Linked DNA regions of Sus scrofa. The protein of the gene in region 4 interacts with the protein of the main gene of each other region in a pairwise test. Links are inferred from orthologs where the notes say so. Each region holds a gene or a part of one and is shown on either strand. Other genes may lie near its edges. The genes, in order: LPAR2, RHOQ, GSE1, TRIP6, FRS3, PPP1R16A and PRKAA2.

Region 1 (4,416 bases), on a different chromosome or scaffold from region 4:
AGGGGTCTAATCGGAGCTACAACTGCCAGCCTACACCACAGCCACAGCAACGCCAGATCCGAGCTGTGTCTGTGACCTACACCACAGCTCATGGCAACGCTGGATCCTTAACCTGGTGAGGCCACTGAGCAAGGCACGGGATCGAACCTACAACCTCATGGTTCCTAGTTGGATTTGTTTCTGCTGTGCCATGACAGGAACTCCAGGCTAAGAACTCTTAATGGCTTCCCATGGAACTCAGAACAAAATCTGACTTCTATCTGTGCCCTTCGAGGCCGTGCTGAAGACCAGTCACGTGGGCTTCTCCCCTCTTTAGAAGTGCTGGGTTGGTCCTATTTGGGGGGCTCTCACCTTCTGTTCCTCTGCCTGGAACTCTTCCCTTCCCCAGCATTCAGGTCTCTACTCAGGTATCACCTCCTTGGAGGACACCCCTCACATTATGCTCTATGAAGTCTTGCAGGAGTTGGGGGGAAGCAGGGTGCCACTTACCCAGAATGATGACAACAGTCTTGACCAGGCTGAGTGTGGTTTCACGGTAGCGGGGATGGCAGCTGACATGCTCTGCCATGCGCTGCACCCGCCGCCTCACATAGAAGAAAATGCGAGTGTAGACAGCCACCATGAGCAGGAAGACAAGCAAGCTGGACAGGGCCCAGACGGCCAGGTAGGAGCGGCTGAGCAGGGGGGCCATGCGTGAGCAGCGGTCCAGGGCACAGAGGCAGTGCCAGGAGTGGGCAGGCAGCAGCCCTAGGCCCAGCGCAGCCACCCACACGCCCACGATGAGCATGATGACCCGGCCTCGTGGTAGGCGGCTATGCAGCTGCACGGCCATCACACTTCGGTGACGCTCCACAGCAATGGCCAGAAGTGTAGCCACAGATGCCGTCAGGCTTGTATCCAACAGGCCCTGCCGCAAGAACCAGCCCTGAAGTGAGAGCCGGGCTGTGCGTGGGCCTGTGTGGAACATGAGGAAGAGGTAGGCTACACCTGCAAAGAGGTCGGCTGCAGCCAGGTTGCCCAGCAGGTAGTAAATAGGCTGGTGGAAACGGCGGTTGGAGGCGATGGCTGCGATGACTAGCAGGTTGGTCAGCAGAACCAGCACACTGACAGTCAGCCCCAGTGCCACCACAACCACATCTTTAGGCCGCCAGTGGGAGCTGAGCTCTTTGCCGCTGTTGTTATAGAAGAAGCCGATGGTCTCATTGTAGTAGCACTGGCCCATGGTGACCATCTGGGGGCAGAGAGGGAAAGATCAGTACAGGCAGTCTTTGTTGGAAGGACACAGGAGGGAAGAGCAGTCAGAAGAGTTAAGACAGGAAGGTCAAGGGTATCAAACTCAGATCCTTCAGGGCAAAGTGGCAGTGATGGGGACAAGGGTGACCATGAGTTGTGGGGTGAGGTTGGGCAGCCCTTGCCTAATTACTAATAAGATTCTTATAAAGATATATCCCAAATCAAACGACTGCTTGCTTTTTTTTTTTTTGTCTTTTGTCTTTTTTAGGGCCACATCCAGGGCACATGGAGGTTCCCAGGCTAGGGTCTAATCGGAGCTGTATACCACAGCCATAGCAACGTGGGATCTGAGCCGCGTCTGCCACCTACACCACACCTCACGGCAACGCTGAATCCTTAACCCACTGAGTGAGGCCAGGGATCGAACCAGCAACCTCAGGGTTCCTAGTCGAATTTGTTTCCACCCCGCACCACGACAGGAACTCCTGTTTTTTGCTTTTTTAATTAAAGAAGCAAAACAAATCTCATTTGCCCACGCAGTGCCAATCTGTAAACAATCTCTATTGGGGGCGGGAGCAGTTAGGGTAGGACAAAGGGGCGTGAGCTGTGAAAGTAGGCAAGGGCGGGTCAGTTTGGTGCTGGGATTAGTGCAGGGAGCAAAGCCCAGGGGGCGTGTGTGCACAGGGTGGGGCCATTGCTTGGCGGTCGGTGCTGGGGCGTGGAGGTGAACCCGGCTGTTAGATGGGGCAGTAAGGCAGCCCCATAACTTGGCCGGCGGCTTTGGGCGCGAGTGTTCTCGAAGCGGGCGGGACACCAGGACGTTCCGGGTGGGACCCTGGCGGCCTCTGGGACAAAAGGGGAGGTCGGGAAGGCTACAGCTGGCGGGGCCACCTGGAGCCCCCAGGCTGGGGGAGGAGCAGGAGGGAGAAGAGGGGGCGGCTCCCGGGCCCGCAGGCACGTGCCGCGCCCTCCCGGGTCCCCGCGCCCTCCCTCCCGGGTCCATGCTGGCCTCACCTGGGCCGCCCGTCACGCCGCAGATGGGGCGGCCTCGAGCCCGAGACCCATGGCCAGGAGACCACGGCGGGAGCAGAGGAGAGTCTGGCTGCGCTGGGCACTAGCGACCAAAAGAGCGCGGGAGGCGGGGTCCCACCGCCCCGCCCCAGCCGCAGTGCCCCGCCCCCACCACCTAGGTGAGCCCCGCCCTGTCCCCAACACCTGAGGCAGCCCAGCTTCCGCTGCGCAGCGAGGACAGGGTCTCCCGGAACCGCAGATCCCTCATTTCCTCTCCGCTTCGCGGCCCCTCAGTCGCCCCTCTCCACTTCCGGCGCGGGACCCCCACCCCCAGTCCCGGCACACCTCACGTGCCCGCAGTTTTGGGCCTTCGCGGGGCTGAGTCACTCGCTGCCCGAGAATTCCCGCCGTGACCTGGTGCCGCCGGGGCCCACCTCCGGGTGGTCTCAGGGTCCGCGCCCCCGCCCCGTCCCCACCCCGCCGGCTCCCTCGCGTCCAATCCGTCGCCGAGTTCCAAGCCACGCCCTGATCCGACCCGGCTCCCACCGCCCGGACCCCAGCCCCGCCTCAGCTTTGCCGGCTCAGAGCAACCGCGGGCCTCAGCCTCCCTTGCCCCGCGGACCTCTCTGGCCTCAGCTGACTGTCCGGCCGCACTCCAGTTTCTCGAAATCCCGCCCCCAGCAGTGCTGTTCTCTGCCTGGCCCACGCCTGTGGCGGCCCTGGACTCCCACGGCCCAGAGCACACAGCCCTATTGTCCCGGTTATCTGCACTTTGTTATATTTGTTTGATTATGGGGACGCAGAACTCTGGGAGGGCTGGCCTGGTGTGACTCAGCCAGGTGCCCAAGCCCAGCCTCTACTGCTTGGAGGTGCTCAAGAGTGTTCTGAAATGAAAAAATGGGGGATTTGTTTTCCCTGGTGGGTAAATGGGGCGGTTGGATGTTGCCCTCGCCAACCTCTCTCTTGTCACCCTCTGGCAAAGAAAGACGCTCAAGGGTATAAAGGACACGATTTATTCAGAGGCCACAGGACCCCAGGGACTACCAGGATTCCTGTGAGTGGGTGGAGTCTGGGTTGCCCACACTCTGCAAGAGCTGGTCACTCGGGATCAACTAATGAGGCACAGAGATGGGGGAGTGGCCACAATCAAATTAGCCAAAAGCACCTCTGTCCCAGGGGTCAGAGACTAGAGTGGACCTCAAGGATCTCATGACTTGTATTGACCCTGAGTATTGAACCTGAATGACCTCTGAACCTGAGTGGCCCTGATGCTCAACACTAACCTGTGTCTAGTGAGGGAATCCTATACATTGCCCCCAAAAGGGTTTTAGTTCTCCCCTAGGCGGTGTAGTCTTTCCCCATAGGAACTCTCCAGACAACCCAACATTGAATTCCTGGTCCATCTTCTCAATCCTGGGCTTCTTGGTCAAAGTGCTGGAATGGTCAGAGATGGTCCTCGGCTTCCTCAGGTTGAGGGTCTGGGCAGCAGGTGGCCTTGGGCACAGACTCACTGTGCAGCTTGGAGAGTAGCCGGGCTGTTTCCTGAGTGATCTCAAAATGCTTGGGTAGCGGGGCGCGTCGAAGAGGGCTGCCCTCACAGGAGGTGGCAGTAGGGCCGGGTCCTCGTCTCCGCAAGCTACCTTGGGGCACTGATGTGACAGGGGTCTCCTCGCACAATTTGGAAGCCACCAGGGCCAAGCCCGACAGCTGGTGGGTGACAGGCCGCACGCCCCCCCGGGGATACTTCACTGGCTGGCGGCTGAAGTGGCCACGGGACTGTGTCCCTAGGGGTGAGTCCTGGAGGCCTTGGCTGGACACTGTAGGATGGAGTGGTCAATGCTGAGCACCCTTAAGTCCTCTGGATGCCCCTTACCCTGTTGTCATCACTCAGCCAAACTACCCCAGGGAAGGGGCAACCCCAGAACCCCTGGGCTACCCCCCAACACACTCACCTTCCCCTCCCTCGTCTTTGGTGTCTTTGGCTACTTCCTCTCCCTGGTCACACTGCAAAGTTGGAATCTGCAGGGAGAAACCCAAGAATGAGACCCCCAGCAATAAAATTCAGTTCTTCAGTACACTTGGACATGTAAAAGTTCCTTTGCAGTTTTGGTATCTAGGAGAAATGATGCCCCTAAGAGTGTAATGCTTGCCACCCCCCCCTCCCCGCCCCCG
Region 2 (4,463 bases), about 85 Mb from region 4:
GATCCCAGGTACCATGTCTACGGACAGGCACGCAACCCTATCAACCCAGGTGGCATTGCAACCCTTCCCGTGGCTCCCCATGTATACAACCACTTCAAACTAGAGCAGGTTGAGACCCGTGTCCAAATCCCAGCAACACTCCCTAAGAGCTGTGTGACTTTAGATCAGCAACCCAGCTTCGCTGAGCCCTCGTTTCCTCATCTGCCTAAGAGGGAGGATCACTCATCTCATGGAGCTGTTGAGGGGCGAAAATACTCCTTGCATGTGGCTGCCCCGGGCCTGATAGGCAGAAGGAAGTCAGTAAATATGAGTCAGATTTGAATGTGCACAGAACAGCTCTGACATACACACGTCCTGTTGAATAAAGTTCGTGGTCAAAAAATGGTCACGGTGACAAGCAACAAAGAAAAGGGAAGAAGAGGCCATAGTGAGAGAAGTTAAAAGTCAACATGAGTCTCAAAAAGCTCTTCTTTCAGCCAATAATTTCAACCTGTTGTTTAGCAACCATACGGCTTCAAAGTTGGTCTTATTTGATAAACCTGTTGTTTATCAACTACACTGCTTAAAAGTTGGTCTTATTTGATTGAATGGGTTCTGCCTCTTGCCCTTCTTCCTAGCTGGTAATGAGAGTAAGTACAAGGCAGGCAATGAAAAACAACCCTTGGAAAGCTAAGAAGTGGTTGTACCGACCTGGGTCAGTTTGGCAAAAGGGGGTGGCCTCAGGCATCTCATATTGCCAATGGTTTCTCAGTTCTCAGATGCTCCTATCACTTCATAGTATAGAAATGAGGGATGCATCAAGATGCCCCCCCCACAATAAGACATTTGTCAGACTAACCTGGAACTACAGTTTTGACACCCAAATCTAGAAGAGCTACAAAGGAGAGCTCCTCTTTATTGACCTACCTGGTGTGTGCCACACTCAGTGCTAAGCATCTAACATATATGCCCAGGGGAATGGTGTGAATTTTTAAAACTTCATCTTACAGATAAGGAAACTCTACTATGGACATCCCCTAAAGACACTCTCTAAGGCCCTCAGCAGCTCATATGTCCTCAAGATCTCAAGTCTGGACGACACGTGGAAACTTCTGCCTGCATTTTCAGGTCTAATCACAGGGCTGGATTTTGCAAAACTTCATCACACACATCATCTTAGGCCCACAGCAAAAATGGGTCTAGGAGGAGGGTGGCGCTGGGACAGAGACAGAGAGGAGATCTTAATCCTTTAGAAGCCACCTCTAATTTGCAAATAATGGTCCGAGGCTGACGTGTGGAGGGTGCATTTTCTTTCTGCACAATAATCTCTCCCAAGGAAAACCCAGACAAAGTCACCTGGCCTTGCCAGGGAACAACAAAAAAAACTCTTCCTCCAAGATTCACACTGAACTCCTGACCCTTCCTTCTCTCCCTGCCCCAGGGAGTGGCTGGATGGTTGTTTCTTTTCTTTTTTTTTCCCCTGCGGTCCTCTGGTAACACCACAAATTACGTTTTCAGGGACTCGAGTCCCAGAGTGCAATGATGTTGTAATAAACATAACCAGGACCAAATGCCTTCCCATCATATTAGATGATGCCATTTCCCACCAATCAGGCTCCTCTGGCGGGCAGACCACTCACCAATGAGGGACCAGACAAAGGCTGTGAGGGGAGACCTGGTCATCGGCAACTAAAAATAAGGGCGCTTCAGGATTGGCCACTGCCACTTTGCAACAGGAGTTGGGACCCACACGCCAGGCACCAGACAGAAGGCACACACAGGCAAAAACTTTCAGCCCAGGGGTTCACGTGGGGTGGGCTGGTCCCGATGTTGCCAAGGTTTTTTGTTTTTTGTTTTTTTTCCTTTTCCTAATTCGCTGACTTAAAAAATGAGATACTTGATCCAGAGGGAACCTCGCAGACACACCCTCGCTCCTAGACAGTTTCCAAGGCCCTTCGCAACCGTCTTGAATTGGGGAAAAGGAGGGGGGTGTCGGCCAGAAGCCCAGACACTCACCTGTCCGGCTGTGTCATAGAGTCCCAGGAGGTACTGCTTGCCCCCTACGGTGACGCTGACTGCAAGGGCAGAAGTGGGGGCGGGGAGAGAAGCTCACAATTATCTAGGCTCGGGGCGGTTTCGTTCCCCACCCGGACCCTCCTCTCCCAACCCAGCTGGAGGCACGCGGGCGCGCCTCCGGGGATGCCACCCCTTTTCCCCTGTGCCCGGCTCACCGGGAAGTGGCCTGAGGCCGGGGTGCGATGTGGCGCCCCAGCTGCCCAATCTCTTTTCCCAAGTCCCATAGCCACGTTTCCCTCACCCTCCTCCCCCAGGGCTTTGGGAAGTAAGGAAGGCGGCCCTAGGAAGGTCAACGAGGTCGGCCCGGGGCACAGAGGGGGTTAGGAAGTACTGGGCGTAGGGACGCCGCACAGAGGTCGGGGGTGAGAAGAGGGGTGGATCGGGCAGGCGGGGGGCTGCCAGAGGGAAAGCCTGGGGGTGGGGCCCGGCGCCCCGCGGAGGGCGCGGCGGGGGAGGGGCGGGGAGCGCGCGCAGGGGAGGCGGCTAGGGGGCTCAGCCAAAGTTGCTCCAAAGTTCCCGGCCCGGGGAGCGGCCCCTTAGTCAGCACTTCCGAGGCTTACCTGCGTAGTGGTCGAAGACGGTGGGCACGTACTCCTCCGGGAAGGCGTCGTTGGCATAGCTCATGAGTAGGCAAGTCTTGCCCACCGCCCCGTCGCCGACCACCACGCACTTGAGCATCAGCGCGCCGGGCCCGTGAGCCATGCTGCGGCCGGCCGGCCTCCGGGCATGGTCCCCCCGGAGCCCCCGCCCCGGCCCCGGGCTCAGCCCCAGCCCGCCTGGGGGGTCCGCCGCCGCCGCCGCCGCCGCTCCGCGCAGCAGGGCCGCCCCCCCGGCCCCATGCAGCGGCTCCCCCTGCCCGAGGGGAAGGGGCGGCGGGCCCGGGGCGCTGCCGCCGCCTCGGTCGCTGCCCGGATCCCCGCCCGGGCCCCGGTCGCTGCGCCTGCCCGCTGCCCCCGCTGTTCGGCGCCCGCGCCCTCTCCCCGGCCCGGCCTCCCCAGGAGGATCCGCTGGATCATAAGACTGGCCGGCCCCCGGGGAGACGGCAACTTTGGGGAGGGCAGCGGAGGGGAGGGGCCAGGAGGCTCTCCCCGCCCCGCGCCGGCCCAGGCCCCCTCCAGGCTCGGCCCGAGAGGAGGGCGGGCCCAGGCGCCTCCCCCGATCGCGGGCCACCCGCCCGGCGCCCCCGCCCGCCCGCCCGCGGGCTCCGGCGCCCCACGCCCAGCCTGCAGCCGCTGCTCGGCCCTGCGGGCTCACCCTAGCTTGACTCCCCGCGAGGGCTGCAGGGAGGGGGCGAGGAGGAGGAGCCGAGGAAGAGCGAGCGGGAGGAAGGTGAGGCTGGGGGAGGGGGCTGGAGACCAGCACTCGGGAGGAGCCGAGGGCTCCTCGCGAAAGTGCCGGCAGCTCTCAGAAGCGTCCAAAGCCCCCGATGCTGGGAGAAGACGTGGAGGCCTCCTGGGGAACCACGAAGACTGCTACGATGACGCAACAGTCCTGCAAAATTATACATATACATTTAAATTCCACCCGGAAGGCAGGATCCAGCCTATCGGCCTCTAAGTGCACAACAGAACTAGAAATCGGGAAGGAAGAAAGGCCAAGAGAGTTAAAAAAAAAAAAATTTTTTTTTTTTTTTTTTTTTTTTTAAGGCGCGCGGAGTGATGGGGCAGGGGTGGTGGTCCATGAGCTGGAAAGTGGGGACTTCTGGTTTATTGTTTGGTTCCCCCCTCCCACCACCACCAGCCTATGCTGTTCGCAGCAGAGCTTGAATCATTTACTATGAATCTGGTGACTAAGGGAGTTACAGCATCTTGAACCACAGATGCATTCCCCCCCTCCCCCTGATCCGTCAGAAAAGGGAGACTCCGAGACTGTGGAGGCGGCAGGTGTACCTGTGCTCCCCCTACAGGCGACATTCTCTGAGGCCCCTTTATGGTCCCCGTGTCCCTCGAAGGTATTAGGTTGTGGTCCCTGAGGAGTGATACACTCTAGAGCTCTAAGATGTGGCTTATGATCCAAGCGACATCTCCTATCCTCCTGCCTGGGAGAAGCTTTATAACACCCGTCTGGCCAGGTCCCATTCACTGGCCAACAATGCTCCTTCTAACTTTAGGCCCTGGGGGAGAGGGGTGGGGGAAAGAGGATACCCCACACGTTGACACCACGCCCCCCCTTCCCTTCAAGTGCTGACTTGAGTTCAATCGATTCCTTTCATCTCTTCGCAGGATCAGAAAATGCTATTCTGAGAGGCACTGCCGAGGTCAGCTGGACCATCTCTTATATCTCCCTAAGATTGTAGGTAAGCGAATTGAGACACACAGAGGTGAAGTGGTTAGTTATCGCAAAGCCTCCTCCTTGAATTCTAGCATTCAAGGACTTGGAACACACCTTGGGAAATGCTCAGTTGTGTG
Region 3 (2,836 bases), on a different chromosome or scaffold from region 4:
AGGTTCAATCCCTAGCCTCGCTCAGTGGGTTAAGGATCCAGCATCGCCGGGGGCTGGGGTGTGGGTCGCAGATGCAACTCAGATCTGGTGTGGCTGTGGCTGTGACATAGGCCGGCAGCTGCAGCTCCAATTCGACCCCTAGCCTTGGAGCCTCCATATGCCACAGATGTGGGCCTAAAAAGACAAAGACAAAAAAAAAAAACCCACCCCACATAGCATGTTTTGAGGGGAAATCCTGCTCCTGTGCGATCAAAGCTTGGCGTCCTAAGGGGAGATTCAGGAGTCAGCCGAAGGCCCCAGGTTTAGCAGAGTTCCGCTCCGGGAGGGTGACGAAGCTCTTTTCCCTGCCGCCGAGGGACATGAAGCCCTGTCTCACCCTCCCTGCCTGTGATTTGCTAAGGAGCAAAGCTGTTGAGGCCAGACGGTCCCCCACACACCTGCAGGCCCTGCAGCCTTAACCCCCCTTCCTCCCAGCCCGCAGGGAGGGGGCAGGGGCACCTCTCGGCTGTGGGGCCGGGCTGGTGTGGGCACCTCCGGCTTGAAGCTGCTTCTGTGGGCATCCAGGCCTTGGGGGCACAGCTGGACCGGTCCTTCCCGAGGCCGAGGCTGCTGTGGGCCAACCCGCCCTCTGCCGCCCAGCATGCGCAGTGCTGAAGGTCGGGGGCGCGGACCCAGGCGCGCAGCACAACCGAGAGAGGTCTGCAGGCGTTTGTTTTACACGCGTTTCCTTCTCTCCAGGAGCTGAGGAGCCAGAAACAGAAGATTGTTTCAGAAAGGGAGCGCCTCCAGGCCGAACTGGATCACTTACGGAAGTGCCTTGCGTTGCCGGCCATGCACTGGCCCCGGGGTTACTTGAAGGGGTACCCCAGGTGACGCTCCGTCGCACGAGGCCGAACCTAGAGTAGAGAAATAGTATCTATTTTATTACCTTGAATATTTAATATTTTTCACTGGGAGGTTTGAAGCTTAAAACAATGAGAATGTGCCATGCATGAAGCAAAGGATTCCAGGCCCCAGAAAAAGAACGGACTCGCCTCGGCTTCCAATGCCATTCAGTCGTCTTGGTCATCAGCCAGCAGCCACGTAGACGCCCCTAGTTTTTCTTTCTGGAGGTGGTTTTAGTCTTTCCCCACGTCATCGTTGTTCAGCTGAAAGCGGACGCTCCGTCACCAACACTAACACGTGGTCCTCTCTCGCCCCTGGGGTTGTGTGTTCCGGAGTCTGGAGCAGGAGCGGCCGCTCGGCTCCCGCTGCGGTGGGCGCGGGTCTCGGTCCTCGGGGCCGGAGGGAGGCCTGCTCCAGCTCCCGGAAGGTGGGGTGCGTTTTAAGTTAAAGGGCTTATTTGTTTCAGTTACTTTTCCGGAAAATTCCCTTCCAAGCACCAGGTCCTAGGAGCACACAAAGCAGCCGTACTGAAGCCTCAGCCCAAGGCTTTTCCCCGGAAAAGCTCTCACCTAGAGAGAAAGCCCATCAGCCAACGGAAGGTACCTTTTTGTCACTCCACGGGCACACGCGCAGAGCTCTGTGCGTGCGTTGAGTCACAGCCACGGATCGTTCCTGCCGTGGGGGGTGTTTTCATACAAACGTCAATTTTGAGAGAATAGTCAAAGGTGCTTCAGCCTTGTACTGTGTATATATATTAAAAAACAAAGTTTTGTATGTTTTTATTACTTTAATTATTGTTATAAAAAGCCTGCCATTTTTAATATGTGGTTTGGGGGGATTTTTGTTGTTTTCCTGTTTGGGGGTTTTGTTTGTTTTTTGTTTTGTTTTTCTGGGCAAAAAAGAAAAAAAAAACCCTTGCTTTTAGTGTTTGTACTGCTGCTGGTCAGGACATTAAAATACTGAAGTGTTTTTAAAAATTAAAAAAGAAGAAAAGTAAAAGAGCTTACCACTGGCGCCTATGCGGTCGCTTCATTTCCGAGTTGCCACCAGAAAGTGCCGTGGAGCCGCCACGCTGCCGCTTCCCTCCTGCTGGCCCCTCCTGGCTCCGGATGGCCGAGAGCCCCTGGGGCCCGTTGCTGTCCAGCGAGGAGGGGCGGCTCGAGGCCCTCTGCGTGCCGTCACGCGCGCCCAGCACAGCACCCAGCCCCGGGCTTTGCTCAGAGGCCCTTTCAGGAAGTGAGCGGTTTCTGTGCTAGGTTCTAGGGTGTCTCACAGCAGTCGGAGAGCAGGTGCAGAGTAGAAACGTTAGCGGCTTTTTTAGAGGCAGAGCTTTGTAACAGCCTCAAAGTGGGGTGAACAATGAGCAGAACGTCTCCCCCTCTTGCACCTGCCGTGACAGGCACAGGAGCAGCTGGACAGGGATGACCCGTGTGAAGCCTGGGGCGGGGAGAGGCGGGGGCTTCCCTCTGAGCCCACTTATTGCTTGTTCAGGCAGGGTTTGAGCTCAATCAAGAAGGCATCTCTTGCCTGAAGGGCCTGAACCAGAGACCAGAGCAGCCAGGGGTCAGTCAGCCTTGGGGGCGAGGGGAGGAAGCTGGAGCCTTGCACTGCGGGCGCCCCCTGCCCTGGGCTGGGGCCAGGGCTGGCGGACTGTCAGGAAGGCCACTCACAGTGAGCAGGGCCGTGCCCTCAGCCCCAGACCGCACCCGCGCACGACAGCTTGCTGGCAGATGGCGCTGCGTCGCTTTCTCTGTTCCCACACAGTTTGCATTGTCTGCCTGCCAGGAACCTTCCAGTTATTAGCAAACGCAGACAGAAAGTGCCGCCAGTATTATCAGCAGTCTACCAGCGCCTTCCCCGCTGCAGAAACGACAGAACTAAGGGCTGTTCTGGGGCCGCCTCCCCTGCACAGACGCAGAGAGCACCACGTGCCACAGGTGGGGACAGGTGT
Region 4 (4,324 bases):
CACATCATGTGGACGTGTGGCCCCTCAACCTGCTGCGGCCCCGGGGTGGACCTGGCTACGTGGACGTCTGCGGCCTCTTCCTGCTGCAGATGGCCACCATCTTGGGCATGGTGCCTGCTTGGCACACTGCCCGCCTCCGGATCTTCTTGTGCCTGGGGCCTCGGGAGGCCCCAGGGGCAGCCGAGGGGCGGCTCCGGGCACTGCTGAGCCAGCTGAGGATCCGGGCAGAGGTGCAGGAGGTTGTGTGGGGTGAGGGGGCTGGGTCCGAGGAGCCTGAGGAGGAGGAGGAGGGGGACTTTGTGAATGGCAGGCGCGGAGACGCAGAGGCAGAGGCCCTGGCACGCAGCGCCAACGCCCTGGTTCGGGCCCAGCAGGGGCGCGGCAGAGGAGGAGGGCCTGGTGGGCCTGAGGGTGGGGATGGCGAGGAAGGGCCCACCACCGCCCTCACGTTCTTGTACCTGCCTCGGCCGCCTGCTGATCCCTCTCGCTACCCTCGCTACCTGGCGCTGCTGGAAATTCTGAGCCATGACCTGGGCCCCACGCTGCTCATTCATGGCATCACCCCTGTCACTTGCACTGATCTCTGATGCCGGTTCCTAGTAGAGAGTGTCCAGGTCGAGTGGCCCACTTTGCTTGGCGGGTTGAGGAGGGGAGGTGCTGCCTCTTGCCCTCCTTGTACTTGGGACTCGGACCCTGGTGGAGGTATTAGGGGAACCTGGTCTTTGGGAGAGGGTCCTCGCTGTGCCCAGGGCAGCTGAGCCGGCGGCCACCACTGGCGAGAAGTCAGCAGCCCTCCCCCACGCTGGCCTCCCTCCCTTCACTGGTGCCTTGACGGGGCTGGGTCTCCGCTTGTGACTCTAGGCTACCTCAGTCTCCCCGCCCCTTGCCCAGTAGACTCCTCACCCTTGAGGTTGTGATGTTTTTGTTCCGTTTTATTTTTCTAACTGCTGAATGTGAATAAAAGACCAAAACACTAGGTGCTGGCCGAGCGTTTCTGGAGGGAGCCGGTAGGGGGGACAGAATGCGGGACGAATCTGTATGCGGGGAGGGGCACTGGAGCATCCCAGCGCAAGGGGGCCACGTGCGGACTTGGGGCACAAGAGCCCCGTGTTAAAGGAGGCTGCCTGAGCCTCCCACCCCCACCCCCCGGGCCCACGCTCTGGAGGAAAGCCGCCCCGGCTCGCAGGAGGGGGCCGACTAGGGGAGGGACGGCAGTTTAGGGCCTAGGGGGCCACGTGACCCTCCCCCAGGAATGCGATGACGTCATCGGGGGCGTGGCCGTCCCCAAAATTGGGGAGGAAGGGGAAAAAAAAAAGCCAGAAAAAGTTTCTGTCCTGGAGTCCCAAGCGAGGTGTCGGGGGGAAGAAGGGGTCAAAGTCAGAGCCCTGGGCTCCGTGGGGCCCTGACCGCTGTCTGGAGTCCCCCATTCCAGACCATGTCCGGGCCCACCTGGCTCCCCCCGAAGCAGCCGGAGCCCGCCAGAGCCCCTCAGGGGAGAGCGCTCCCCCGAGGCGCCTCCGGGCCGCCGCCAGCCCACGGAGCAGGTAAGGCAGCCCCAGTGCGGTGCGGAGGCCACCGGGCCACCAACACTCAACTCTGCCCTGCTGCTCTTGCCTCCCGCTGAGCCTGCCCCTGTCGCCCCTTCCCCAAGCCCGGCTGGAACCCGCCGCGCCCCCGCCCTCGCCCTCTCCCAGCCCTCACTGCCTCCTGCCCCATTCTCGGACCCCAGATGCGGGGGGAGAGGGGTGAAGAGGGACCCAAGACCGGTGGCCTCCACAAGTGTCACCCTCCTCTCCTTCCCCATCCCCACCTTGGCTCTCTCTTCCCTCACCCCAGCACTCCAGTCCCACCCCAGGGTCAATTTTTGCCCCCTCCCATCTGAGCAGTGTTACCAGGCCCCTGGGGGACCGGAGGATCCGGGCCTGGCCTGGGTGGGGTGCCATGGAGCACCCCAACGCTCACAGGTGAGCACCGCGATTAGGGGGTGTGGGGGGGACTTAGGGCAGGAGAAGAGGCCATATGAGTTGCATTCTCCCTGCTTTTGCTCTATCTCCAGGGGCTCCCCCCGGACAGGGGGGCCTTGCGCCCAGGAAGTCTGGATGCTGAGATAGATTCCCTGACCAGCATGTTGGCTGAGTTGGACGGGGGTCGGGGTCACGCCCCACGGCGGCCTGACCGGCAGGTGACTCCCCGCTCCTGTCCCTCCCTGTCCTTGTCCCCCACCCCTCCCCCGCAACCTGGTTCCTGCTCTGTATTCTCACTCCTCTTCTCCCTCCACATGGGGGATGCACCCACCAGCGAGGAGGAAGCTGGGCCACCAAAACGTACTAGGTTGCCAGCCACTCAAGGACGGGCCCTTGTCAAAACCAGTGCTTACCTGGGTGCCACAGACACAGGGTTCAGGGGTTCCACAGATGTGTGTTCTGGATTGGGCCCAGCTCATGCCTTCTGGTCTGTGCTTCTCTCCAGGCTTATGAGCCCCATCAGCTCCCTGCCTACCGCTCAGGCCCTGGCTCCCTGAAGCCGAATGGAGGGAGTGTTCCTCCCACACCACTCCCAGCGGCCTCCTATGGCGGCCCCACGCCGGCCTCCTATGCTACGGCCAGCACCCCCGCCGGCCCTGCCTTCCCTGTGCAAGTGAAGGTGGCACAACCAGTGAGAGGCTGTGGCCCCCCCAGGCGGGGGGCCCCTCAGGCCTCGGGGCCCCTCCCCGGCCCCCACTTTCCTCTCCCAGGCCGAGGTGAAGTCTGGGGGGCTGGCTACAGGAGCCACCGTGAGCCAGGGCCAGGGGGTAAAGAGGAGGCTGCCGGAGTCTCCGGCCCTCCGGGAGGAAGAGGAGGCGGGTACGGGCCCCAGGTAAGCCCTGGGCCCTGGGATTTGGGGTCCTCAAAGACAGTTGGATGCTGACTGGGTGGGGTGGGGGTGGGGGTTGATGTTCCAGTTTTCAAGCTCTGGATTCCCTGGGGGCGGGGGGCAGGTCAGGAAATAAAGGAGGGAGGGGACTAGATCTGCACACTGGCTCCCAGAGGCACACCCCTGGCCCCTGGGCTGGGGTGTTCTCCTGTGAGCTTTTGGGTGGAATTGCCTGATCACTCTCGGTGACAGTATTGGGAGGGAGAGGTAGGATTGAACCCCTGATTCTCACCTCCCAGGTCCCCCTGAGCCAGCCTCCCGAGGAGGAACTTGAGAGGCTGACCAAGAAGCTGGTGCAGGACATGAACCACCCGCCCAGTGGGGAGTACTTCGGTGAGCTGCCCCCCGCCACACACCCCGGGCAGGGGGTGGGGGGAGGTCAGGTAGACAGTGGGTCTGGCTTCCCAGTCTATGGTTGACCCTGACCCATCCCGTCCCCAGGCCGGTGTGGTGGCTGCGGAGAAGATGTGGTTGGGGATGGGGCCGGGGTTGTGGCCCTGGACCGTGTCTTTCACGTTGGCTGCTTTGTCTGTTCTACGTGCCGGGCCCATCTCCGGGGCCAGCATTTCTATGCCGTGGAGAGGAGAGCGTATTGTGAGAGCTGCTATGTGGTGAGTGGTGGGGGCTGGCGGGGGGTGGTGGCAGATGGAGTCAGCAGCAGGAAGCAGGGGGCTTCCATCCAGAGTGGGAACTAGGTGTCCAAGCCCCAAAGAATAAGGCTCGAAGCAGGAGAACTAAAACTAATAAAGAAAAAGGCATGGATGAAATAAGTAGCTGTATACTGGTTGCTGGAGAGAAAGGACAACATTCCCCTGTAAGAGTGAGGCATTTATTTTCGGTTTAGGGGAATGTGCTGAATCCCCACAATGCCCTGGTGAGGCAGCTGTTACTCCTGAAGGAAACTGAAGGTCTGAGAGCTTAAATATCTTGTCTGGGGAAGCTGCAGTGCTAGGATTTGCACGCATACCTGTTCAAGGCCACCTTTAACTGAATCACATGCAGGGGGCTACATAAATAGGTGGGGGAGCTGGCAGGATGCCTGTAAGGGCTGCCATGGGTCACCCCAGCCCTGACCTTCCTGCTCTCCTTCCTGACAGGCCACCCTGGAGAAGTGCTCCACCTGTTCCCAGCCCATCCTGGACCGGATTCTGCGGGCCATGGGGAAGGCCTATCACCCTGGCTGCTTCACTTGTGTGGTGTGCCACCGCGGCCTCGATGGCATCCCCTTCACTGTGGATGCCACCAGCCAGATCCACTGCATTGAGGACTTCCACAGGTCAGCTAGGTCATCAACCTTTGTCTCAGGATGTCTGGCCTGGCCTTTCCCATCTTCCTTATCTCTCCTTCATATCCCAGTACCAACCTCTCATGTTTTGCGCCCCTGGCCATGCCTCATTCTTGGTAACACAAC
Region 5 (4,615 bases), on a different chromosome or scaffold from region 4:
GCTAAGGGAAGCTTTAGAGGAGGAGGTTACCTTCGAGAGCAGGGATGGATTCTGCCAGCAGCTGGGCACAGAAGGGCATCACCCTGGCCCCTGTAAGACCCAGCTTTGGGGCTGGGAACAGGGCTTGGACTGAAACAATTATACGGCTTCCCAGACCTGAGCTCCCACCCTCTGCTATCCTTCCCTGCTTCCTGGCTCCGCACCCATCTGCTTCCTGCCCGTTCTGTCCCCCAGCTCAGGTTTCCTGTGGAAAGCAGCCAGGATGGGCTGCTCACACTCGGGGCCAGGAGTAGCCACTTCCTCAAGCAGCACTACCCGCTGGGGAGGGGGTGATCACAGGAAGGGGGCGCTTCCGGGGCCCCAAAGGAGACTTGCACCCTCCCTTCCAAGTTAATTCTTGTTTGCATGAAATCGTCCCACACAGAGACAATGCTCAAAAATCAGTCCTTGCCCCTGACCCTTCATCCCCTCGGCCCAGGACCACATAACATCACCTCTACTTAGCGGGGGCCCCACCTTACCCCCACCTTACTAACATGCTGGATCCTTCGAGAATTTCCTCCTCCCCTCCCCCACACAAGGGACTGAATACTTTCTCCTGCCCCCGCGCAAGTGTACCCGGGCTCAGGAGTTCGACCTTCCCAACCCACCCCTGAAGGGCTAAGTCTAGGGATTGGGGGTCGCGGGTGGGAAGGTTTCCCAGGACAGTGAGAGGAAGACAGGGAAGAGAAGTGTCAGGTTCCGCCAAGTGCCCTCTCGACAGATCCCCAAAGTTTTTTCTTGGGCTTCGCGGGGCCCACCTTCGAAGCGGGGCGCAGTGTTGTCCTGGAGTCAGCGGGGGTCCCAGTGTGTCTGCTCGGAGTTTAAGAGAAGGAACGGGACTCTGCTGGGGTCTCACCCTCGCTACGCGCCGGTGTCCGGGCCGCTCTGGACTGGACAGACCCCGCCGTCGGGCCCCTCAGCCGGTCCCCACCCCGAGGCCCCAGCGCCGGCCTCTGCCCGCCCGCGGAGAGCGGCCCTTCCTCTCCCACGCCCCCCTCCGCTCGCGGGCCCTGCCCAGGAGCTGGTAGAGCCCGGCGGCTCTGGGAGGGGCCTAGGCCGGGAGGGGCCTAGAGCTGCAGACTAAAGGAAAGCATTTGTAGGGCTCTCGGGTGGAAAGTGAGCAGGCTTCACTGCCGCCATGCCCATGGGATTAGCGCTGGAATCGCTTCCCTGCAGATGCTGAGCAGACACCGGGAGTCACCGTTTAGCCGGGTCCTCAAGCACTTGCGGAACGCAACGCCCTTCGGAACCTGCAGGTCCCCCCGCCAAGACTCTCCTTCTGGTGTCCTAGTCCCGCCTCTGTCTGTGTGTCCCACCCCCATCTAGATCCCTCCCCCTTGTCCCAGCTCCTTTCCGGGTCCCTGGTCCTGACCTCCTCCTTTCCATCCCTTTAGGCTCCCCCCACTGCCCCCCCCCCCCGCGCCTCCCGCCAGTCTAGCGATCCTGGGAGTGGAAATCTTTGGTCCCACTTCTGGACCCCCTCAGCCCCGCCCTATCCCCGCCCCCGCCCCAGGCTCCGCCCCGCCCCTGCCAGGCTCTCTCAGCCTCTGGCCCGGAGCGCCCTCTGGCGTCTGCGCATGCTCCTTGCTCCCGACTGCAAAGTCCTCCAAAGAGACCTTCTAGGCTGCGCGCCGGTCGCCCCCAATCGGGTCCGCCCGCCCGCAGCGTCTCGTTGGTGCTGCCGGTGACCTCCGACCCCGCGGCTGCGGGGCGGGGAGGCCTCAGCTCCGGGCGGGCGGCGGCTGTCTGCAGCGGGACCCGGGAGCGGGGCCCGGCGCCGCCCGGGCCGCGGGGCGATGTGAGTCGGGGCGCGGCGGGGCGGGGACAAGGCGGCTCCACCGAGGCCGCGCCGCGCCGCACCGCAGTCTCCGCTCCCTCCCGAGGAAGCCCCTGGCGGGCGGGCGGTGGAGCCCGGGCTGGGGGGCGGGGATCTAGGGACGACGCGCGGCCCCGACCTCCCCTATTCCTTCTCGGGATCTAGAAATTCCCCTGTCAACCCTGTCACCTAAATCTGCCTCTAATCCCCCGGATCCACCCCACCCCCACCCTCTGGATACACCTTCGCGTGTCCTGGACCTTCAGAACCCCCTCACTCCTGCGAATTCCCCTGGTATGCCCACAGAAACCACCATTCTCTCCTGGATACCACCAGATGTTTCCACCGCCCTGAAATTCCTGAGTCTTCATATTCCCTCATTCTCCTTGCACTGTGCTCAAATCCAAAAAAATTTGCCCACGTTTCCCCAATCCCTCTCATACATTTTGAATCCCCAATAACCTCATACTCCCACCCCCAATCCACCCCATCTCAGACCAGAGCCGTCTCCTGCCTCTCCACCCCATGTAGCCCCCCCCCCATTGGGCTGTCATGCTATATCCTGGTATCTTAAAGAGAATTGAAGGGGACAGGAAAAGGTGCAGCGCCCTCCCCCATCTTGCACCCTGCAGCTCCTGGTTTCACCCCCAGACTCCCTCTTGGTGGCTCAAGCCTCAATATTTACCCAGCTGCCTGTTCTAGTCCTTGCACACCTTCCTCATCCTGCTGCCCCCCTCCAGGAAGTAAGCCAAACCAAGAGGGTGGGAGCCCTTTTACCTGGGAAGTTGTCCAAGGATGCTGAGCAACAAAGGGTCCTGGGAAATGACATTGCTTTTCTAGAGCAGGAGGGTGGGATTTCAGGGATTTCCTGGGTCCTGGCTTGTCAACTAGTCCACCTAGGGCTCAGATTACTGAAGTTTTGGTTGGTTGGCAGCATTTATGTTAAATTTCCAGCCTTTCAGAACTTGGAGAACAGAAAAATCTATCAAGCGTCCGAATGTGAGATCGTAGGAGCTTGTCCTGGAAGAGGAAAATGTTGATTTTAGTGATGTTTGTCCTCCCTACTAACCTCTAGAGGTTATTGAAGCTAGAAGCTCTGCAGCTGACAGCTGTTTCCCTTCAAAACTCAGGCCTTGGGGTGGGAGTTGGGGGAGTGGAGGATCAACCTGGCAGACTCCCAGATATAAGTTAGCAACAGAAAAGACGGGACTATTGGGTTCCTGACTCTTAAGCCATTGCTTTTCCAGTATATCTTAGTGTCCTTTTGAGAAAGCTCTCTGCAGAGTTCAAGTTCTCTGCAAAGGTAAGGTGGTGATCTTGGTTGTAATAGGATTCAGATGGACATGTGACTTAAAAATGCCCTGGGCTGCCTTAGACTCACTGATGCCAGAGGGGGCCTCTCAGGGTCTATGGGGCTTGGAGTTCATGGTCCCTTTGCCTTTGATCTCATGTTCGTCCTAGATGTTTCTATTTCTTTTTTTTTTCTTTTTTCTTTTGTCCTTTTTGCCATTTCTTGGGCCACTCCCGCTGCATATGGAGGTTCCCAGGCTAGGGGTCGAATCAGAGCTGTAGCCGCCGGCCTACACCAGAGCCACAGCAACATGGGATCCGAGTCACATCTGCAACCTACACTACAGCTCACGGCAAAGCTGGATCCTTAACTCACTGAGTGAAGCCAGGGATGGAACCCGCAACCTCATGGTTCCTAGTCGGATTTGTTAACCACTGAGCCATGACGGGAACTCCAATAGATGTTTCTATTTCATTAGGACGTGCAACAGATATCCAGGTGGGGTGAACTGAGAGCAAGTCATTTTCATTAACAATTGGGGGTGAAGATGGAAGGTTTCTGCTAACCTGTGGTCTCTGTCTCCTATGCTAGGTGAGCCCCAGGGAGATCCAGGTGACTTCTCTGCAGACGGCTTGTCATGACGCCCCACCAAGAAAGGGGGGAATAAAGTGGGGGTCCTTCCCCATGCCCCTCCCATGGTCGGCTCCCCGATGGCCTGGGTGAGGTGAGAGCTGTGTATAGGAGCCACTTTTCTGGAGCTTCCCAACTTGGGAGAAATGGAGGGTGCGGGTCAGGATCGTTCAAGGCTTTACACATTCAGGGGGAGTGCCAGAAGGCCATCTAATCCTACCAATTGATTTCTTGCTGCCGTTTGCCACCCCATAACTTGTTTGGGATTGGCCCATGCATTCGCTTGCTCCCTTAGGTCACTGTAGCCTGGTGGTCTCCCCTCCATCCTGGGCACAGGTCTGACTGTTGTGACGTCTAATCCAAGTGCCTTAATCAGGGAGGGAAAAGCCAAACAGTAAGGCTTCTCGTCTCCACTTTGGCCAAAGGAGAGCAAACCCAGCATTTAATTTTTTAACGAAGAAATGCCTACTCAAGGTTTTAATTGTTTGATCTTCTGAATGTATCTCTCTTTTGGTTTTCTCTTTTTTTTTTTTTTTTTTTTTTTTTTTTTTTTAGGGGCACACCTACGGCACATGGAAGTTCCCAGGCCAGGGGTCAAATCAAAGCTGCAGCTGTTGGCCTACAGCCACAGCCACAGCAATGCGGGATCCGAGTCACATCTGTGACCTACACCACAGTTCGCAGCAGTGCCAGATCCTGAAGACACTGAGTGAGGCCAGGGACCAAACCCGCAACCTCATGGTTCCTAGTCGGATTCATTTCTGCTGTGCCACGATAGGAATTCCTTGAATGTATCTCTTGACCATAATGTAATATCGCATTTGAAAAGAATATCA
Region 6 (3,887 bases), on a different chromosome or scaffold from region 4:
AGCACGGTCTCTTCTCCAGGGGGGCCTCCTCTGAGGGGGCTGTGAGTCTCAGCAGGGGCGGGTCTCCCCCAGCCCTGGAGCCACACTCCAGCCGGGCGGCCTCCATGTCCACAGGCGGGCCAGACTCCGTGGCCTCGGGCCCCTCAGGTGGGGGCCGCTGCAGCTTAGCTGCGGCCCGCTGGCGCTTGAGCTCAGCCAGGGTGTGGTGGGCCCTGGCCCGGACCAGGGCATCTGCGGTGGTGCCCTCCGGGGGGTTCAGCTGGTAGGAGACGCCTCGGTCCAGCCGCTTGGAGTACAGGTGCCGCCCCAGGGGGCCGCCCACTCGGCCGTTGTGCGGCCTGGCCTCCTGGACGTCCTCCTCCTGTGTGGGGAGCAGTCCCCAGAGGCCATCAGGAGGGTCTCTCCAGCCCCTGGCCCCAGGATGCATGGCACCCTGGGGCAGAAACAAGGGTGGGGGCAGCAGCTGACGCCCCGGGCACTGGTCCCGCCAGCTTCTGAGGCTGGTACGGGGTAGGACCTTGGTGCCAGGCTGCGAGGGTGGAGCCCGGGGGCGGGGTGGGGGTGGGGAGGCGGGCAGGGCTCACCCCAAGGGGTGGTGGCCTCAGCTCGGAGTCTGTCTGGCGGTCCTCATCCTCCTCGAAAGGCTCTGGGCTCGTGGGTGGTGACTGTTGCCACACGATGGCCTCTTGGGCGTGCTCCTTGCGGTACAGGCTGGTGCGCTGGGTCAGGCTCACCCGCCTCACCACCTTCCTGGGGAAGGGCAGGGGGAGGGTGGGGAGGATGCCGCCCGCCCTATGGACTCTGCCCCAAGTTCCGATGGGCACCTTGGCCTGCCAGGTGACATCAGCTGGGACAAGGCCCAGGGCAGAGCCTGCAGAGTGGGGGTGCCCAAGGGCCCTTGGGCGGGCACTCACCCCCGACTGCCGGCACTGGAGGTGCGGCGGCGCAGCAGAGAACGCTGGCGGCCCTGTGCGCGCAGGAGGGCGTCGTGCTTGTGCTTCAGCTCCAGCAGCTTGGCACGCACGTCCTCGTCCCCACACAGATCTGAGGAGGAGAGGCAGAGGATCATGGGTGCCCCCTGCCCCTCCCCCACACCGGAAGGATGAGGCTCTGGCTCACCGAGAGGCGTCTCGTCCGTCAGGGACTTGCTGTTCAGGTCGGCCCCGTGTGCCACAAGCAGCTCCACCAGGTGAACCTGTGGCCGGGAGCCCAGGTTGCTGAAGGTTCCGGAGCTGCCAGGCGCCCTCCCCCGCCGCCCCCGCCTGGCACGCACCTGGCCCCAGTAGGCCGCAGCATGCAGCGGCTCCCATCCATCCAGATCTTTGGCGCTTGGGCTGGCCCGGTGTTCCAGCAGCAGGGCAGCCACCTCACCAAACCCATTGGCTGCGGCGATGTGTAGCTGCACGAAAACCGCCTGCCCCTGAGCCTTGGCCCCAGGCCCAGCCAGCAGCCACACCCCTGCTGGGCCCCACCTGGCCACATCCTCACCAGCGTGGCCCCATGGTCCCGGGGGGCGTCGAGGTCAGCCCCCGCCTGCAGCAGGCACCGGATGTCCTCTAGCATGTGCAGCTCCGGCATGGCCCGGGCCTCCTCGATGCTGTCCTGGGTGACGCCTGCAGGGCAGGAGGCTCAGGCCAAGCACGCCCGGCACCCCTGGCCGGGTGGGTGAGTGGGCAGGGTGGCACTCACCACGGCTGGCCATGGCCGTCTCCAGGCAGTCCAGCGTCTGCTCATCCTCGCACAGGTCATAGGGCATGTTCCCATCAGTGTTAACTGCCAGGAGGTCTGCGCCGCTGCGGGGAGGATGGATGGGGTGCTGGCCACAGGCCCTTCTCCCCCAGCGAGGCCCCCAGGCCCCTCGGAGGCCTGCCCTCTCGGAGGCCCGCCCTAGGGCTGCCCTGCAGTTTCCACTCGTTCCCGGCCCCCATCTGCCCTATGACCAGGTACAGTGGGCCCACCTGCCCCTAGAGGATGCCAGGCCTCGGGGGGGCAGGGGGGAGTTGGGGGTGTGTGCCCCTTTTTGCTGCCCTGTGACGCTGCATACAGCCGCTCCCCCTGCAAAGGGGATAGACCGCCACCACCCCGCAACACCCACCACTGATGCTCCAAGGTCAGCCTGAGCCTGACTCTGACTAGAGAGGTCAGAGGGAGGGGCACTGTGCAGGGGGCACTTCGAGGTCCTGGTGGAGCGAACCACCCTCTCCGCTCACAAGAGCGGCCGTGCAGAGCCCCAGGCCTGCGCTGCCCCCCCTGCTAGTGGCCTCACCCGTGTCCAGCCTCCCCCCCGCCCCCGGGGCTGCCTCCGTCACCGCTCTGACCCGACAGTACTTCTCTGTGCAGACCCTGGGAAGGGGAGGAGGCCAGAGCTGGAGGGAGTGCCAGCAGCCTGGCAGCAGAGGACCACACTGCGCTGAGCCTGTGCTGCGTCCTCGGGGAAGGCAGCAGCTGAGGCCTCTGCCCAGGTCCTGGGCTCCAGGCCAGGGAACAGGCGGGTAAGTGGGAACACAAGAGACCAAGGGCCAAGCACATTTGCCCACAAGGAGGTACCTAAGGTTGTGCCCCCCTGGCCCAGCTGCCACCTCCCCCTGACAGAGGCCCACCCCAGCCACGCTGGTCCCAGCAGCCCTACCGAGCAATGAGCAGCTCCACCAGGTGCAGGTGGCCACAGGTGGCCGCGGCGTGCAGGGGCGTCCAGCACTCACTGTCTCGGGCGTTGACCTTGGCTCCGGCCTCGAGGAGCTGCTGCACCATCTCCCGGAAGTCATCAATGCAGCTCTACGGAGCGCACGGCCTGAGCACCAGAGGGCAGGCCGCCGCCCCTCCCTCCCCCCTGGCCCCGGAATGGCTGACCTGATGCAGGGCCGTCAGGCCGTCCTCATTGGCTAGGTCGGGGCTGACCCCACTCTCGAGGAGCTGGCGGACTGCAGGGAGGAGCGGGGGTGGTCAGGACAGGAACAGGAGTCCCGCTCAGGCTCCGGCATCTGGGGGCCTGGGCCGACTGCTGTGCTGTAGCCGGAAGAGCAGAGGGCGGTGGTGGCACAGGTGGTGGGAGGGACACCAGAGCCCAGGCCAAGGACTCAGGAGCTGGGACCCCAAGCCAGGCACAGACAGCAGTCCGACGCCTCCAGCAGGGCCTTCCGACCCTCTGACGCCCGGGGGGGCCATCCTGTGTGAGGCGGTCCCGACACCCACTGGGGCTGGGTGCTGGCACCCTCCCTATCAATCCCTCTGTGGGTCCTGTGCTCCCCAGGTCCCCCTCCCCTGCCACACGCCCCTCCTCTGGTACTTGCAGGCCCCAGGAGCTCCCCAGAGCCCCAAGCTGGCCTTGGGGCACACCCACCATGGCCGCACCCCCTTCCCCAGCCCTCTTTGCCCTCTGCACCCCAGCTTCCACAGCAGAGGCCTCTGCCCTGGAGGGAGGCAGGAAGAGCCCTTGGGAGCCTCCCTGGAGAGTCTCCCTGGAGAGCACGTGTGACAAGGGGAAGGGACAGGAAGCCTGGGAAGGTGCTGATGGGGGAGTGGTCACAGGCAGAGCCCTGCTCCCCGTGTGCTGACCTGCCCAGGTGGGCAGCAGCATCCTCCCTGGTCGGCAGAGACCCAAGCGGCTGGTGGCAGGACCCTCCCGAGGGACGCCCAGCAGCACTCTAGCACGAGCACCCCCAGCCAAGCCCCAGGCCACCCCGCCTGGCGGCACCTTCGCAGCAGGAGCCCGCGCCGTGAGGGCTACCCCTTGAGGTCACCGGCCACCAGGCGTCAGGGGCTGAAGAAGCAGGGACAGACCTGGGGCTCTGTGAGGCAGGCAGACCTCTGGGGTCTGAGCCGGGTGAGGGGCCGGGGCCGGGGCCGTGGATGGCCTGGGGCTCAGCCCCACTCACCTTCCTCCAGGT
Region 7 (4,553 bases), on a different chromosome or scaffold from region 4:
AGGAACATAGCTAAGAGGTATACAATAATTCAAGTTGCAATTATCAACCACTAGTTAAGACAGTGCACAATGCTTTTAAATATTTATAGGCTGTCTTCATACAGCTTCAAGAAAGCAATCTAATACTCTTTAACATCTTTTAATGAGATGTTAGAACAAGACACAGACACTTTATATTGCAAAAGAAGAATAGGTATTTTTTCTACTTGAATGAATACTGGAGTGACCATCAATCAAATGAAGGTTCAGCATCAAAAATAACTGGCTATTTTCTCCAAATCGTCAGCTAGGTAGACTGTTTTTTAAATAATACTTCTGGTCAGCAAGAAAGATGATCCTAAGAATGAACAAAAATAGCCTCTGTTCAACAGCTGTGATGTCTATAATTTATAAGATGTGATCATCTCTCATCAGATTGACTTGATGGCTAAACAAAAATGGATGTATGCTCGCCATTGGTATATTTGTCACTTCTCGGAAAACAAACTTCTGTTACATCTTATTCTTTCTGATAAATATATTTCTCTCTTTACATAAAAATAGTGAGATGAAATTTCCTGTTTGGGGAATGTGACCTTGAAACTCTACTGTCATGCACAAAGTTAAAAATGTTCAGTTAATCCTTAAACACTTATTCCCAATCAGCAAATAATTTTTAGTCACGGAAAGAGGAAATTTTGAAGACTGGGACACAGTAGGAAGCAAAGAAGGGAGAGAGGAGGAAGTGAGAACCACTTCATTACTATATTACTGTATCTTGGCAGTTTTTAATGCTTACCACCTCCCCCCACTTCAATCTTTACCTTTAATTTGTGCCTTTATATTGCCCTAGCTCACCGTAGTACTTCGTCCCTTATGTATCTTACTTTCCATGCTCTCTTCATTTCCGTCACTGTTTCCCTTTTGTACGGCTCCATCACAAATTATTTATACACTATTTATATAGGTATGTGCTAAAATACAATCAGGTAACTCTTGGGTCTGATTGTTCCGAGAACTTTGTCCAAATTAGTGAGAACTGAGAACTCTAGAATGGAGGGTCTCCATCTGTAGCTCAAAATGATTGAGAATGAGGAAGTACACCGAGGTGGGTCACTGAAGCCAGCACACAATTGGGTTCTGTGTGTGTGTCATGACCTGTATCATAACACTGAACCTGAGACTGGAGAAACTTCCTTGTAGCTCTCCTTAGACTGACCTTCGAGCAAGGTCGTTCACCATCGCCTCCCGCCCGGATCCCTTAGACCCCTAAGCTGGTTTTCACACCCCTCTTTCCTCACACTTCAGGCCTGTTTCTCTTCTCCACCTTCAGCTTGCATCTCTCCGCATTTGCTAAGATTCGGCCCAAATCCCACCCTCATTTCCACTCCTTCGGGTTCTCCTCACCGCCCCGCCCCCAGATAGCGGGGCACCATCCGACCGCCACCGCCTCCCGCGCACACCTGTAGTCCTCCGACCCTCCCTCCACCCGGCCTCCTGCGCCCAGCCCAGGGCCCACCCTGCGCGCCCGCCAGCTCCGCACACCTACGTCCCCGCGCCGGCTCTGGCCGGGGGTGTGCGCTCTGCCCACCCGCTCGAGCCCCCGCCCCGCCCACCTGCTCGCCCTCCCGCCCCCCGCCCGGCCCTCGGCGCCTCCGGGCCCCCGCCCCCCGCGGGCCCGCTGCACTGTGGGTAGGCGGCGGCGGCGGCTGCGGCCGCACTGAGGAGTCCGCCGCGGCGGCGGCGGAGCGAGGCTGCGCGCGCCGAACATGGCTGAGAAGCAGAAGCACGACGGGCGGGTGAAGATTGGACACTACGTGCTGGGGGACACGCTGGGTGTCGGCACCTTCGGCAAAGTGAAGAGTTGAGTACGCGCCGAGGCCGTTGCTCCGGGCTGCCAGCCTCGCGGGAGGCCAAGCCCGGGAGCCCGGGGCCGCCAGCAGGCAGTGGGTGGGCAGCGGGCGGCGGGGCCTGGCGGCAGGTGGAGCGGCCCCACCAGGGCCGCGCGGAGCCCGGGGGCTCCGGGAGGGCAGCCGTCACTTCCTCGCCCCGCGGCAGCGGCCGGGTGAGGGGACGCGGGAGGGGCGCAAGCGTCCCGGGGTCCAGGGCCGCCGCCCACCGCCTTTCTCGCAGTCGGGAGCGAGACGCTTCTCCCGCCCGACTTCAGTGCCCTGCTCTGTGACACCGGGAGACTGGACTGTTGGGCAAGGTGCCTTCCTGCTGGGAGACTGTACGGGTAGGGGTGGGGAATGACACGCGTTCCTGGTAGTGGAGTTTCCATTTTTGCCAGGTGCCCCGTTAGGTCCTTCACAGGTGATCTCCTTTGAGCCTTAGGGCAGATGCAGGTGTTATCCTCACCTTAAACGCGAGAAAACAAGGACCCCCTAGGGGTTTAGGAACATGCTCAAGGTCACACTGGGATGTAGGTCTAAAATGTCCTCCAGTTTGGCCAGCTGGGAGGTCCCTGCCGTCCGAGTTCTTTCGTGCTCCCTTGCTGGGTTGGTGGGGCTGAGAGTTTAGGGGGTGCTCCCCGAGCGAGCGGTTGGGTGGGTCTTTCTCCTGGCTGGAATGCAGCTGCATTGGATCGGGGTTAGTTACAGCTGGGAGGTCTGAAGGTTGGTTGGTTTGTGTAAAATGGTCCTAGGAAGGCTTCTGGGATGCGGGAGAGAAAATGCGGTCCTTGGTGCTGGATCTTGGGGGATGCCGGGCTGAGGCCAGAACTGCTAAGGCGTTTGTGCTCTGCTGAGGTCTGTGTTCTTGGTGATGCGGTCCCATTTTGGGGTGTAGAAAAACAGGTTGCTTTTGAATTATTTTTACTTCTTCCTAGTTAAGTATTGAACGTTCCTGTTTTTGTTAATAAGAGTCACATGGATTTAATTAATTTGTCCCCCTCCCCCGAACTAGAACCGGCTATTTAAAAATACTTCTCTTTTGATTGTTGCAAATCCATTACTGTAAGTGTAGTTTGCCTCCCCCCCCCCCTTTGCTCTAGAAATGTTGGTTAGGTAGTTTGTAGATTTTATGGAAACTTCTATTTCCTCAAAAACTGATGTTTTAACTTTAAATTAAGGCTGTTAAATGTTTATTTCTGTGGCACGGACCAGCTCTTATTTACTTCCACATGTCTGATATCCTTTCGTTTGTTCAGAACGCACTGATTGAGTGCCTACAGTGTTTCAGGCACTGTTCTAGGTAATGGGGATACCCTAGAAACAAAATCAGATTAAAATCTCTCCTTTTGTGGTGCTTTAATAAATTCTTGTAGGGGAAGACAACAATTCCTTTGTGTATGTATATATGCGTGTATATGTATGTATATATGTGTGTATGTATATATTTGGTGCCCTTGAGAAAAATGAATGAGAGAAGAGAGGATAGGGAATTTTGTGAGGTTAGCAATTTTCAATAAGTTTATCAGGCAAGGCCTCACCGGCAGGGTGGTATTTATCTAAAGACCTAAAAGATTTGTAAAATTCTTTGACGTACTGTGAGAGCTGTGAAGGCTTTTAGTTTTGAAAGACTTTATAGAGTGGACAGTTAGGAGAATATATTTAGAATGACTATAGACTCAGGAATTGGATTAACGCTTATAACATTACTGAGGCCTCTTGTGTTTTGATGTTATACACCCAAGCCTTTGCCATCTGGACAAGTACACTCTCCAGGTTATATAAGGTACCCTGCGCCCTTTGAAATTGTTAACATTTTTGTTTGTCTTTTTAAATTTTTCTGTAATCTGAATGTTGACTAAAACACCTATCAGGTCAGTCAGCCCATTGGCACAAGACAACTTAAGTCTCTTTTGTATATACTTTTGAGCTGCTTCTAGGCACTGACGACTTAAAATGTAAACCATCAGAAAAAATGCTTTGATTTATGAGAAATACTTTTCCTGGAAGCCCCTGCCCAAAGAGCAGCCAATTGGAGGAGATGTTTCTAACACTATACTAGGGCCTCTCTGCAGTAAGACTGTGGTTTCTCATCCAAGGTTATAGACTTAGTACAATTGCTTAATAAAAATTATAGAAGTTGCTACATCTTGAAGTTAGTCATTTACCATTGACCCTTGAACAGCACAGATTTGAACTGCATAAGTCTACTTCTACAGATTTTTTCACTAAATATGTACTACGTAATACATAGTCTGAGGTTGGTTGAATCCTAGAATGTGGAGCCATGGATATGGAGGGCTGACTGTAAAGTTATACATAGATTCTCAACTGCCCAGGGTTCAGTGCCGCTAACCCTGGTGTGGTTCAAGGGCCAGTTGTAATTCTTCAAGGGACAGGAAGCAAAAGCACATGCATTTTTAAAAACAGCTTTATTCAGGCATATTTTACGTATCATAAAATTCACCCATTCCAAGTGTACAATTCAGTGATTTTTTTAGTAACTTTACCAAATGGTGCAACCATTATCGTAGATCAATTTTAGAACATTTTCATCACCACAGTAAGATTCCTTATGCCCATTTGTAGTTAGCCCTCAGCCCTAGAAAACTGCTAATCTGTTCTCTGGATCAGTCTGCTTTCTCTGGACACTTCTTGTAAATGGGATCATTCAATATGGAGTCT

The links.
Region 1: the proteins of TRIP6 (region 4) and LPAR2 interact in a two-hybrid assay, tested with the Homo sapiens proteins (2 studies listed by BioGRID). The link is inferred for Sus scrofa from reciprocal best matches to the Homo sapiens genes TRIP6 and LPAR2.
Region 2: the proteins of TRIP6 (region 4) and RHOQ interact in a two-hybrid assay, tested with the Homo sapiens proteins (2 studies listed by BioGRID and IntAct). The two-hybrid records come from large-scale screens. The link is inferred for Sus scrofa from reciprocal best matches to the Homo sapiens genes TRIP6 and RHOQ.
Region 3: the proteins of TRIP6 (region 4) and GSE1 interact in binary tests that used the Homo sapiens proteins (3 or more experiments, as listed by UniProt). The link is inferred for Sus scrofa from reciprocal best matches to the Homo sapiens genes TRIP6 and GSE1.
Region 5: the proteins of TRIP6 (region 4) and FRS3 interact in binary tests that used the Homo sapiens proteins (3 or more experiments, as listed by UniProt). The two-hybrid records come from large-scale screens. The link is inferred for Sus scrofa from reciprocal best matches to the Homo sapiens genes TRIP6 and FRS3.
Region 6: the proteins of TRIP6 (region 4) and PPP1R16A interact in binary tests that used the Homo sapiens proteins (3 or more experiments, as listed by UniProt). The two-hybrid records come from large-scale screens. The link is inferred for Sus scrofa from reciprocal best matches to the Homo sapiens genes TRIP6 and PPP1R16A.
Region 7: the proteins of TRIP6 (region 4) and PRKAA2 interact in binary tests that used the Homo sapiens proteins (3 or more experiments, as listed by UniProt). The link is inferred for Sus scrofa from reciprocal best matches to the Homo sapiens genes TRIP6 and PRKAA2.

Annotation. Positions count from the first base shown.
Region 1 is NC_010444.4:58,295,088-58,299,503, reverse strand, and holds the start of LPAR2 (lysophosphatidic acid receptor 2), read right to left. Parts: upstream 3,124-4,416; 5' UTR 2,867-3,123; intron 2,860-2,866; exon of another isoform or gene 2,449-2,859; intron 2,425-2,448; exon of another isoform or gene 2,248-2,424; intron 1,234-2,247; exon of another isoform or gene 1,232-1,233; coding exon 490-1,231; intron 1-489. Other genes in the region: GMIP (GEM-interacting protein), read right to left, coding at 3,688-4,061, 4,197-4,263. UniProt on the Homo sapiens protein: Receptor for lysophosphatidic acid (LPA), a mediator of diverse cellular activities. Seems to be coupled to the G(i)/G(o), G(12)/G(13), and G(q) families of heteromeric G proteins. Plays a key role in phospholipase C-beta (PLC-beta) signaling pathway.
Region 2 is NC_010445.4:94,009,561-94,014,023, forward strand, and holds the start of RHOQ (rho-related GTP-binding protein RhoQ), read right to left. Parts: upstream 3,101-4,463; 5' UTR 2,758-3,100; coding exon 2,616-2,757; intron 2,055-2,615; coding exon 1,996-2,054; intron 1-1,995. UniProt on the Homo sapiens protein: Plasma membrane-associated small GTPase which cycles between an active GTP-bound and an inactive GDP-bound state. In active state binds to a variety of effector proteins to regulate cellular responses. Involved in epithelial cell polarization processes.
Region 3 is NC_010448.4:3,245,792-3,248,627, reverse strand, and holds part of GSE1 (genetic suppressor element 1), read left to right. Parts: intron 1-498; exon of another isoform or gene 499-738; coding exon 739-873; 3' UTR 874-2,836.
Region 4 is NC_010445.4:8,711,945-8,716,268, forward strand, and holds the start of TRIP6 (thyroid receptor-interacting protein 6), read left to right. Parts: upstream 1-1,276; 5' UTR 1,277-1,435; coding exon 1,436-1,544; intron 1,545-1,836; coding exon 1,837-1,964; intron 1,965-2,056; coding exon 2,057-2,182; intron 2,183-2,469; coding exon 2,470-2,856; intron 2,857-3,152; coding exon 3,153-3,246; intron 3,247-3,354; coding exon 3,355-3,524; intron 3,525-4,010; coding exon 4,011-4,189; intron 4,190-4,324. Other genes in the region: SLC12A9 (solute carrier family 12 member 9), read left to right, coding at 1-587. UniProt on the Homo sapiens protein: Relays signals from the cell surface to the nucleus to weaken adherens junction and promote actin cytoskeleton reorganization and cell invasiveness. Involved in lysophosphatidic acid-induced cell adhesion and migration.
Region 5 is NC_010449.5:36,966,650-36,971,264, reverse strand, and holds the start of FRS3 (fibroblast growth factor receptor substrate 3), read left to right. Parts: upstream 1-1,587; 5' UTR 1,588-1,840; intron 1,841-3,515; exon of another isoform or gene 3,516-3,740; 5' UTR 3,741-3,873; intron 3,874-4,615. UniProt on the Homo sapiens protein: Adapter protein that links FGF and NGF receptors to downstream signaling pathways. Involved in the activation of MAP kinases. Down-regulates ERK2 signaling by interfering with the phosphorylation and nuclear translocation of ERK2.
Region 6 is NC_010446.5:302,800-306,686, forward strand, and holds part of PPP1R16A (protein phosphatase 1 regulatory subunit 16A), read right to left. Parts: coding exon 3,876-3,887; intron 3,007-3,875; exon of another isoform or gene 2,922-3,006; coding exon 2,851-2,921; intron 2,776-2,850; coding exon 2,630-2,775; intron 1,794-2,629; coding exon 1,690-1,793; intron 1,614-1,689; coding exon 1,489-1,613; intron 1,400-1,488; coding exon 1,120-1,399; coding exon of another isoform or gene 1,045-1,119; coding exon 915-1,044; intron 751-914; coding exon 585-750; intron 362-584; coding exon 1-361. UniProt on the Homo sapiens protein: Inhibits protein phosphatase 1 activity toward phosphorylase, myosin light chain and myosin substrates.
Region 7 is NC_010448.4:155,751,390-155,755,942, reverse strand, and holds the start of PRKAA2 (5'-AMP-activated protein kinase catalytic subunit alpha-2), read left to right. Parts: upstream 1-1,698; 5' UTR 1,699-1,748; coding exon 1,749-1,842; intron 1,843-4,553. UniProt on the Homo sapiens protein: Catalytic subunit of AMP-activated protein kinase (AMPK), an energy sensor protein kinase that plays a key role in regulating cellular energy metabolism.